3 linked regions of the Nothobranchius furzeri genome follow. The protein of the gene in region 2 interacts with the protein of the main gene of each other region in a pairwise test. Links are inferred from orthologs where the notes say so. Each region holds a gene or a part of one and is shown on either strand. Other genes may lie near its edges. The genes, in order: C-Jun-amino-terminal kinase-interacting protein 1, lrp2b and mapk8ip2.

What was found.
Region 1: the proteins of lrp2b (region 2) and C-Jun-amino-terminal kinase-interacting protein 1 interact in a two-hybrid assay, tested with the Homo sapiens proteins (2 studies listed by BioGRID). The link is inferred for Nothobranchius furzeri from reciprocal best matches to the Homo sapiens genes LRP2 and MAPK8IP1.
Region 3: the proteins of lrp2b (region 2) and mapk8ip2 interact in a two-hybrid assay, tested with the Homo sapiens proteins (2 studies listed by BioGRID). The link is inferred for Nothobranchius furzeri from reciprocal best matches to the Homo sapiens genes LRP2 and MAPK8IP2.

The regions. Positions count from the first base shown.
Region 1 is NC_091749.1:49,773,134-49,776,789, reverse strand, and holds part of C-Jun-amino-terminal kinase-interacting protein 1, read right to left. Parts: intron 1,727-3,656; coding exon 605-1,726; intron 1-604. UniProt on the Homo sapiens protein: The JNK-interacting protein (JIP) group of scaffold proteins selectively mediates JNK signaling by aggregating specific components of the MAPK cascade to form a functional JNK signaling module. Required for JNK activation in response to excitotoxic stress.
Region 2 is NC_091756.1:35,644,705-35,648,460, reverse strand, and holds the start of lrp2b (low-density lipoprotein receptor-related protein 2), read left to right. Parts: upstream 1-1,212; 5' UTR 1,213-1,374; coding exon 1,375-1,441; intron 1,442-2,514; coding exon 2,515-2,625; intron 2,626-2,813; coding exon 2,814-2,936; intron 2,937-3,756. UniProt on the Homo sapiens protein: Multiligand endocytic receptor. Acts together with CUBN to mediate endocytosis of high-density lipoproteins. Mediates receptor-mediated uptake of polybasic drugs such as aprotinin, aminoglycosides and polymyxin B.
Region 3 is NC_091744.1:72,512,100-72,515,290, forward strand, and holds part of mapk8ip2 (C-Jun-amino-terminal kinase-interacting protein 2), read right to left. Parts: intron 1,041-3,191; coding exon 868-1,040; intron 785-867; coding exon 675-784; intron 546-674; coding exon 423-545; intron 332-422; coding exon 261-331; intron 174-260; coding exon 75-173; intron 1-74. UniProt on the Homo sapiens protein: The JNK-interacting protein (JIP) group of scaffold proteins selectively mediates JNK signaling by aggregating specific components of the MAPK cascade to form a functional JNK signaling module.

The sequences.
Region 1 (3,656 bases), on a different chromosome or scaffold from region 2:
CGAGCCTCTGACCTTTTTCTCACCTCCAGGTGCTCCGATCGCCTCTGAATTATCAGTCAATTTTGAGCAATCACAACCCCTTGGATGAACTCCTGAGTCCACATCTGCCAGCCCTCCAGCCGTTCCGCTCTCCTACCGCTCACTCCCGCAGCCCACGCTACTGCAAATATCGCTATTAGAGGGAAATCACTGAATGCAAGTTCTTACTTTCACCACAGATGTAATACATCCTGCTTGCAACATTCTAAAACATGTTGCAAGCAGAGTATTTACAAAGTCCTAATACATCTTGCCTCGACTGAAAAAAAAAATCTCTAATAATAATCAGTGGTGTAGATATGCTTTTTGGAAACAGCACACAAATGATAAAATATTCATAACTAAAACAATGTTTTTCATTGGGTAAACATGAACAAATGACTCTTTGTAAACCAGTAGGGCTGTGTTAGTCTCATTTGCATGTGTTCTGATTCATTTACATAAAAACTAAGTAAAACAAAACATTTGCCAACTCAGTCCCTTTGCATTTATTCTGCTCTCAAAGGTCTGAGGCGGAGTTTTTGTTATTTGCAGCAGGTTGATTGTAAAAATGACAGGAACTTACTTGAGGAGTGAGAGCGCCCATTCATGAAGACGTTCAGGAACTTTTTGGAGAAATGCAGGTCTTCCTCAGAAGTGGAGTCTTCAGAAAGGCAAGCTGTTGCCTCCCTCTGCACCCCTCCTGTCCGAGAGTCTTGATCCTCATCCTCTTCCTCGTACTCCTCCCCAATGGCTGATTCGTAGGGCGAGGAGACGCAGTTGTCATAGACGGTGGCCGAGTCGCTGTCATCACTGTAGCCTTGGTAACACTGTCGGAGACTGATGAGCTCTAGCTGAGCATGCTCATCTACCACCAGTGTGTATTTGACTGAGTCATATGTTAAGCTGCTGGCCTCTGAGCTCATGGTAGTCCTTAGTGGGACAGATTTGCTGACACCACCACTGTCTCCCTTCCCTCCCCCCTTTGTCATTCTTTGGGCCATTATTATCCTGTCTACATCCTCATCCTCTCCACAATAGCTGTCATCTGTGGCATCCACATACTCGACAGAAGAGCCAGCTCGAAGCATGGCCCCTGTCGCTTTCAAGCTGAGGTCCAGGGCAAGAGACGAGTTAGGTGAAACAGCCATGCCAGGAGGTGTGATGAGAGACTCTACACAGGAAGCGTATGAAGGTGGAGGGACATAAAGTTCATCCTCTTCATAGATGGAGGGGTTTGTCCTGTCTGGAAGGGGCTGATAAGGAGGTGGTCCCTCTGTATCAGAGCTTATGGACATGCGTCCTTGTTCAGTCTGCTGTGAGAGGAAAGGTCGGTCCTGTGTGTTAGCGGGCTCTAAGAGGTCAGCGGAACGCTGCACTGGAGTCAGGTAAATCTCCTCTGTAGGCTCCAAATGAACATCTTTTTGGTACTGAATCCGTTCCCGATGGTGAGCAATACTATCGGCTTTACCCGCCGGGTACAGAGGAGCTGGTGTGTAGTTCTGTGGTGGTGGAGGTTGAGGAGGCTTCTCTTGTAGCTTGCAGCGCGTCACGGCCCCTGCACTCGAGCCATGCGAATGACCCGACGTGTGGCCGTGTCTGCAGGGGGCGTCGGTGGATGTCCCGCAGTCTTTGGTCTGTGCTCCCCCAAGCTGCACCTTGTCCTGATCGCCCAGACAGCTGTGCTCACGTGGAGGTGTGAGGTCACCTAAAGAAAGAGCAGACACAAGCAAAACCATGGAGATGGCAACACAAACAAACACACAGACACACAAGCATAAAGAGAGGCCAGACACACAGAGGTAAACACACATGATGGAGACAGAGAAATACACCAGCAGCCATGAGGATGAAAAGGCATGACACCGAACAAAAACACAGAGCAGAAAGAGTAGCAATGGTTAGGTAATGTCAGGATTACACAGTTAAATCCCTTTACACACCCAAATCAGAGCAAGGATGAGGTGAATGCTGAATTATGTCACATATTACGTCATAATCCATTGACAGGAAATCAAGTTAGTGTATTTTTCATCTTCTAGACACAGCAGAGATGTCTGACATCACAGAAAACTACCAGTGGTTCCTAGAGTTTGGGTCGGGACATCGCTGCAAGCGGCACAACTAAAAATTGGAGGCTTTGAGATGCAAATAAAACAGAGAAATGCTTCCTAAAATCATTTAGATTAAAACATGATTTAAGTGATTGCAGATGTAATTGATTTGCTTTTTTATGAAGCAAAAACATAAGATTAAATAAAAAAGGGAACAGATTAGCATTAAGAGAATGAGGAAATGCATTCAAGGTAGCCTAAACTGTCTGGCCAAAGAAGGTTTCACCTAGATTTAACTAAAGCAAATAGGTATGAGCTCCTCCAAGAGAACCGGTTCTTACGGCTCACTTAAATCAACCGGCTCCTTTGGCTCTCAAACGGCTTCTCATGTTTTTTTTCTTAAATTAACTTATTACCAGAAATTATACAAAACGGACTAAACTTAATTACTGATCTACAATATATTATATCAACTATTCATTATTTAGATAAGTTATTTTATTCAACACAAAGCAGAGAGCTACAAAAACACATTTTAAATGACAATACTAAACTCGACGTAAAACATTTATTAACTTTGAACCATTAGAGCCTGTTGGATATATTTTCTCTTTGCATATGCCACACTCTGCCTTTTAATTGTCACTGTAGTTAAAATGTGTCCAAATCTTGCTGCCTGTCCTGTTTTCACTCATTTCCTCAACTTTCTGTAGCGCTGTTTCTTTTCTTTTCTCCTCTTTTATAAATTTGTCCTGACCAATATTTGCAGGTCTCATCAGTTATAGTAATAATTGTCCCAGGCTTTTTGTGTGCGCCACCCATCTCACCGCTTTTACAGCAATCTGAGGTGTGTGTGGGTTGGGTTGGTTCGTTGGAGTTTTTGACAACTGAAATTGCGCCCACATTTTCTAAGTTAAACACATCACTTTTAACAACGGTAGTTTCTGCTTCAGCCATCTCCCCCCTCCCCCTGCGCAGCGGCCGCAAACTCACTGATGCGCCTGCAGCCTCTCAGAGTTTCTGCTGCTCTAAACATTAAAAAAATTATATCATTTTCTGTTCCTCACTTCTGATTACCTTCAATGGTGTCTGTTTGTTGCAACCACCAGGTACAAAAACTAACTTGATTTTATTTAACTATTTTTCTGTCCTGCCTGTTTATTATCGTCCTGCATCTCCTCTCAATCCTAAAGAAAAACTGCTACCTGGGTTCATATATATTCACCTCATGAGTTACCTTTGAACTGCAGTTCTAAAAGATCTACCGACCGCAAAAACAGCGAAGTGCGCGCTGCGCGCCGGCCGCACCAGTGCGGTACATCACCGGAGGACTGAACAGGTGATGCGCTCCGCTCCACAGCAGTGAAAAGCATCAGGCACAAATAAAAGACAGAAAACATTAAAGGAAATGAGCCGACATGAACAATCGCATGTTACATTTGTTTTTGAGGTGGCGACACCTAATTTGATAATGTTACTGTGGCCGTGCTCAGGACGCAGATGTCTGGAGCGCGTCAACGATCAGAGTTTTGCATGTGGAAGCTGGTTAAGGTTAGGATGGGGTTGAGAGGAAGGTTAAATTGC
Region 2 (3,756 bases):
GGGTCTACAGAGCAACAGAGGGGGTGGAAAAGAGATGAAGAAGCATGTGGTGCAGGTTGGATGGAGAAAAGTGTCAGGAGTGATAAAAGGTTTCTGCAAGAATGAAAGGAAAGATGTAGAAAACAGCTGTGAGAGCAGCCATATTGTCTGGTTTAGAGACAGTGTCCATGAGGACAAGACAGAAGACAGAGCTCAAGATGTTGAGGTTCTCTTTGGGAGTGACGACGATGAATAGGATCTAATCTGAGTCCATCAGAGGGGCAGCTCATGTTAAATGTTCTGGAGATAAAGTCAGAGAGGCAAGACTGAGACGGTTTGGACATTTCCAGAGGAGAGACAATGACGAAATAGGACAAGAAGCTAGTAGACATGTTTTTATTTGATTAGCCATGGGATAGTAAAGGTTTTTTGACTATTTTCATCCTCCTGAGTGCCTAAGATCCAATTCTTTTTTGTATTGCTTGTATCCCTGAACTAAAGAGCACCAGAGGTACTCACAACCACTTCACACCCTGGAAGCACTCCATGCATTTTTGATGTTCATGCCTTAAAACATGTTTATTATATGTGGAGGTTTAGGTAAAATTAAACCTATAGTTCAAAGGTCAGTACTGTGTAAATGACAAACCTGGGTGTATCAGCCGGGCCCTTCATGTATCTACCAATATCTAATACACTGATCTAATGACCATCTAGCATCTTCTAGTTCACGTGGAAGCCAAAGATCTTAGGGGTCAGTTTTAGGATGCAAAGATTTCCATTCTATGAATTAAATGATTAACCCTTTTCACAAAAAAAAAAAAAAAAAAATATCAGTGATTTTGTTCTTATATCTTTGTTCTTTTTATCTACTTTTCAGATTTGCTTAAAAATCCAATTATTTTGTTTTAAAACATTTATGCAACCATACAGATTTTAAATGAGAGGTCAGAAATTAACTCATGACTCTGATGTAAAATTGTCATTAAATTATGTTTAATTTCAACAAAAAAAACGTATTCAACTTTTGTCTGTATCCAAACTATTTCAGACACTATTATATTTAATCTGACTTAAACCTTTCACATTCACCTTCTTGCCTCAAAAATACACCAACGTGTTTTTGCTGACGTGGACCACACATCCACAGGTAAAAGTTAATCTTAGATGAAGTTTATGTAAAACAGCAAGTCATAAAAACCTGTATAACTCTGTGTCACATTACTGATCTGCTGGTTGGTTGGGGTCAAGCATCTCAGTTCCAAAGTCGTTATCTCCTCCACGATCATTTGGGTTTGGGAGAGCCGTGGGTGCAGAGGGAACATGAGAGCTCAGAGCTGATCAAACTAACACCAGAGCTGAGAAACACTGGAGACGGAACGTGAAGGTTCAGTTATGGGCCTAAAAGGGCTTCATGTTTTGTCTTTACTGCTGCTGACCCAAGGATTTCATCTTGTACAAGGTATGTGTTTCCTTGTGTTTTTGCTGTATTCTAAAGCAAATATGGGTCAAATAAAAGAATAGGAGCTCTGAGCGATGGCCAGTGATGGCTGCAGGATAAATTCATGCTTTCTTCATCCTATTTGTTGACCAAAAACAACTTTGTGCATCAACATCATGGTATCATGACAACATTTGCTTTAAAGTTTAAACCAACTCAAAACTTATAGATTTAAATGGGAGTAAATTTTCTGTGCAGTCAGATACAAATAAACTACACGGGGTAAGTTAGAAGGTTGTGATAATCTGTAGAAGTTATAAACTGCAGTAATCTTAGATGGAAGCACACTTTATCAATATTAATTTACACTGATCTGTATGAAAATGTCTGCAATGTTTCTTTTGTTTTTGTCTCTCTGCTTTCCCAAACTGAAAACAAGTAATCCTGATGAATAATCTCTATAAATATAAATAAATCTGAATCCCAGAGTTATAAAAGCACATTTGTTCTTGAAATCTGGTCTGAGAGTTTAATATATTTCAGGATCACAAGATCGTGTCAATTCAAGGTGAAGAATTAACTATTCTTTAAAGACCAGATCACATGCCACAAGTTTCAGATACTGCACAAGAAGCAACTTTAACTGTCATAAACATGGTCGCTCACTCGTAAAACATAGGAAAATATGTGATGTTTTTACTGAGGTGACACGGACATCAAACATTTAATTTAATGCTATAAATTCTGTAATAAAACACTTTGTGACCTGGGCAAGTTCAGCAGCTTTGATATTGGATCTTGGTGCACAATTATTAAAAAAGAAACACATTTAGATTATATTTCTTATTGTTTTAAAATAATGTTCAAATGCTAAAATATTGTAAATGATAAATATCTGTTGATTTTTTTTTTCTGGTGTCATCTCTAAAGGCCATTTTCTACCAAACACAAAAACTAACTTAGGAGTTTTAAAAAAAGCTTATTTAGAAAATATATATTTTACTTGAAAGAAAAACTTGAATGAAGTTCAGCTCACACCATGCCCATCAAAAAATGAGTATAATTAAATGTCTGAGGGTTTTTTTTTTTTGCAGGAAGCTGTGGCATTAATGAGTTTCAGTGCACCAATGGTCAGTGCATTAGCAAAGAATGGCGATGTGATGGAACTAAAGACTGTACAGACGACTCAGATGAGCTCAACTGTCGTAAGTATTATAACCATCTGCAATATAGATGGCATCATTCTCAACACGAGCTAAAAATGTCAATTTTAAACAAAATACAATTGATAAGAGCTAAAAGTTTAAATTGAAAGTCACCTGACTAGCAGTTAAGTGATGTAAGGTGAATGAATATTGATTAAAAAATCACTTGTTTTGCTATTTTGTGGCAGCACCTCCATCCTGCACTTCACAGGAATTTAAGTGTGTGACAAGTGGAGAGTGCATCTCATCAGGGTTTGTCTGCGATGGGGAGGAGGACTGCGTCGATGGCTCAGATGAACAGAGAACCTGCGGTAAAATACACAAACCAAAGATTTTATTATGTTTTCTAAAGTGTTAAAATGTATGTTTACAATAATTTCTATCATATTGGTAAAAGGAATTAAATAACTGTAGATATTTTAGCTGAAATGTTTTAGAATCCACTAGATGGCAACATCGCCTCAGAAGTAACTATCTGTTAAACTAGAACGTGTCATATGTGCAAATAAAATGATTGCCATGATTGCAGTTATTTGCTGCCATAAGACTCGTGTTGAGATGATTTGCACCTGTCCTTTAAAGATATGTTCTTGTAGTTTTTGAACACAAATGCATGTGGTTTTCTAGACTCATTTCATGGTAGTAATAAAGACTTTAGTAAGAGTTGTGGAGAACATTTTAACTAAGTTCTGAAAAGTTTAGGTCATCCTATAGGTACGTCCCAAGCCATAACACATTCATTAAAACATATTAATTATGACCAATAAGATGTGATGATTCCATATAAATATGAAATATCAATCTGATTCATCTTTGAATGTTTAATCAGAAGATTCTAGGGTTCTTTGCTTCATCAGGGACCATAAACACACTTCGTATTAATTCAGACAGTCAGTACATAGTTTATAAAATGAATTTAATTATTTTTCCCAAACTAACATTTTATACATGACAAGATATGAATAATGAGATGTGATGTGGTGGATGTGAGATGTTGTGATGGAAGCTTGATGTTGTAGCAACCGTTCTTTGTATCTGAGAGAAATTGTGAAATCTGACTGTAAAATAATTTGTTGTTTGTTATAAACTAGAGCATTGGTTATTGATAAAAACCTCATCAGACGCAATCTG
Region 3 (3,191 bases), on a different chromosome or scaffold from region 2:
CTGTGCCAGATGCATTTCTATATAACAACAGATTTAAATTCTAAGTAAGTATTATTCTAATAATCTGAACGAACCCGACACATTCAGCCACAGGCCGCATGGATTCCTGGGATACAAACACATGGCAAGCAAATCTATTCAGCATTGGATGCTTGGTGATGAAGCCAAAGTAGCTGCAGGGAGAAGAAATCAATGATGCAATCAGTCAGATATCACAATGTTCAGAAGGAACACGAGGGCCAAAAGGCTGGTTTGGTTACCAGTTATTTCTCGGATGGCATCCGCAGAAGGAGATGTTCTTCATCTGGAAGAAGTGGCTACACCTGTCGTACTAGGGATGGAGCAGATCTCAGGTTCAAATCCCTAGAGAGGTAATATTATACTAAAAGGGCAAACTGATTCATTGATTTACTAATCGTTACCTCATCAAGGGTGTCATAGTCGTCCTCCAGGCTCATGATCAGTTTAACTCCTTGCAAGCTGATCTCCAGCTCACACAGGGATGGAGGTCGCACATGCACCGTACGTTTCCTCGATATCGCAATCTAACAGACGGAAACAAAAAAAGCGCATGCTTCACACATGACCTGAGTTCACACCTGAGCCAGGTATGTAGAAGGTGTGGCGTTGTTTTGAATCACTACATTTGCTTTAACATTTTCCCTGCTTCTTACCTTTTGCATTGCGGCACAGAGGATGCCATTGCCTTGGTGATATGGCACCTCTACGGACCCCAAAAACTGAACACTGAACGTCTCGATCCATGCTGGATTCCTTTTTAGGCCTGAGCGGTCAGACAGAACACGTCATTTTTGGAGGGGAGAATTCTCAGGTGAAAGGGACAAAAAGCAGTTTCTCTCCACTCACCCTGCAACTCTTTCAACTGGCTTATGACCTCTTGGGCGTAGAAACCAGGAAAGATCCCTTTCTCTCCTGTCCGCATGTTGTAGCCTCTGTACCAATAATCATCCTCCTCTTCCTCCACAAAGAGAGGATCATCTACATCTAGCTCCAGCTCATCTGCATGTCTGGGAATAAACCTGCAGAAAGCAGCAACATCTTGTTAATAGTGTGCATTTGGATGGCATAAAAGGCATAAAAGCATCCCCATTCTACTGATTCAGAAGGGAAAAGACCTCAAGATGTCAGTTTGAAGCAGTGAATGTCCTAGTATTTTGTGTGTGTGTGTGTGTGTGTGTGTGTGTGTGTGTGTGTGTGTGTGTGTGTGTGTGTGTGTGTGTGTGTGTGTGTGTGTGTGTGTGTGTGTGTGTTTGCAAGAACATGGTGTTGAGGGTCTGCCCTCATAAGGAAATTACTGTGCAGTGATTTTCTCCTAAGACTGTGCTAAAAATTGCTCTGAACGAGCATATTCCACCATCAGCGCCAGAGATACTTCATTTCCCATGATGCTTGGCACACGGAAGCAATGTGATGACGTCACTGCCAAGGCGGAGCACGAACAACAACAACAACCAGCTGAAAGTTATACATTTCAGCTAAAAACGAAACTTAGCGTTCTTTTGCCCAGTATCACTGGCTGTAAGGACACGATCGCTGACTACGGCCCGAATAACGTGTGCACGAGGCCTGGGGGCTGAAGAGTGCGAACACCGAGCCGCTGGAAAAGCAACTCCGAAACCATCAGAACCTGGCTGGAAACGAGCGGAGCTCCAACAAGCTCACGGAGACGCTGTAAGTTATAAAGTCAGCACGAAGCGAAACTTTGCTCTCTTTGTGTCCAGCCAGTTGGAGAAACACTTGTGCGGAGAAACAATGACCTGCAACGCGAAAGAACAAAGGGACGCCTTTGGTTCGCTCACGCAAGAGTTTGACTTTATTTTATCTCCTCTCTTATCTTTCCCCTTTCTTATAGTTCACAAACAAGCAATAACACCGCGCTATTGCTTAAAAGTAGCTCCGGTTTTTCTCTTTTTCGTAACCAAATATGTCATACATCTACCGTGAAGTAAGATCTTTTGTTTATTATTTATTTAACCTGGGTTTGTCGGTCAGCTGTGGCCAGGCTGCATCGACTCTGTTTAGATTAAATAATTTACGAGTGACCTTTGTTGTTTTGTTAACTTTTGAAGTGTTTAAGTTCAGTTACACTGTAATTTTTAAGCCACTAAATGCAAGCTAATTCCTTTGTCTGCATCTGAGAGAGTTTTGTCACAGCTTACAGCACATCCCAAGGACACACACTCCCCGCGCACCTGGGAAAACAAAGACCCATTCATACGCCCTTCATTCACACACACACATTTGATTACACACACACACACACATGGTCTGATTTCATACACACACATCTTCAATTATATCAAATTGTTTTACATTATTAATCCCTGTTTAATTAAATGTTATAAAATTCAGATTTTTGTCTCAAGTGACTTTTTGTGTTGACTGAAAATCTCTGCTCCTAGGATTCCACGGACATTTCAGATAGACTGATAATAATTTTGGATTCATTTCCCTTTCTAATTAGAATGGGTGGTGCCCCGACGATACCTAATTGTATCTTAATTAATTAATACATCCGTAAATATTCCCATATTTACAGAATTTATTGAAGAATCCAAAAGTAAGCAAAAGCTTACAAATTATTCGCTTCCTAATAACCCCAACAATGGGCACAGGTGGTTTCTGATCAGATTATTGTTAGCCACCCAGCAGCTCTCAAGTCTAGCTGGAACCAGAACATCTGCCTTCCTCCCTTATCTAATTAGTGATGCACTACTGCTGCAGGACACACACACACACACACACACACACACACACACACACACACACACACACAGAGAGAGAGAGAGAGAGAGAGAGAGAGAGAGAGAGAGAGAGAGAGAGAGAGAGAGAGAGAGAGAGAGAGAGAGAGAGAGAGAGAGAGAGAGAGAGAGAGACAGAGAGAGAGAGAGAGAGAGAGAGAGAGAGAGAGAGAGAGAGAGAGAGAGAGAGAGAGAACCCACAATCATTACCTAAACATTAGTAGATTACTCGGCTGTGAATGACACATGATAAAATTTGCACATTTTTACTTAAAGGGCTACTTTGCAACATCTTCATATTTCTTATTATTTTCTTGAGAAATTAGCTAAAATGACTCGCAGGATTAATGATAAATGACCCGGACTTATGACTTCAAAGTTGGCGGGCCGCTCCCTGCTAGTGGAGGGAGCCGTGGATGATTCTTTTGT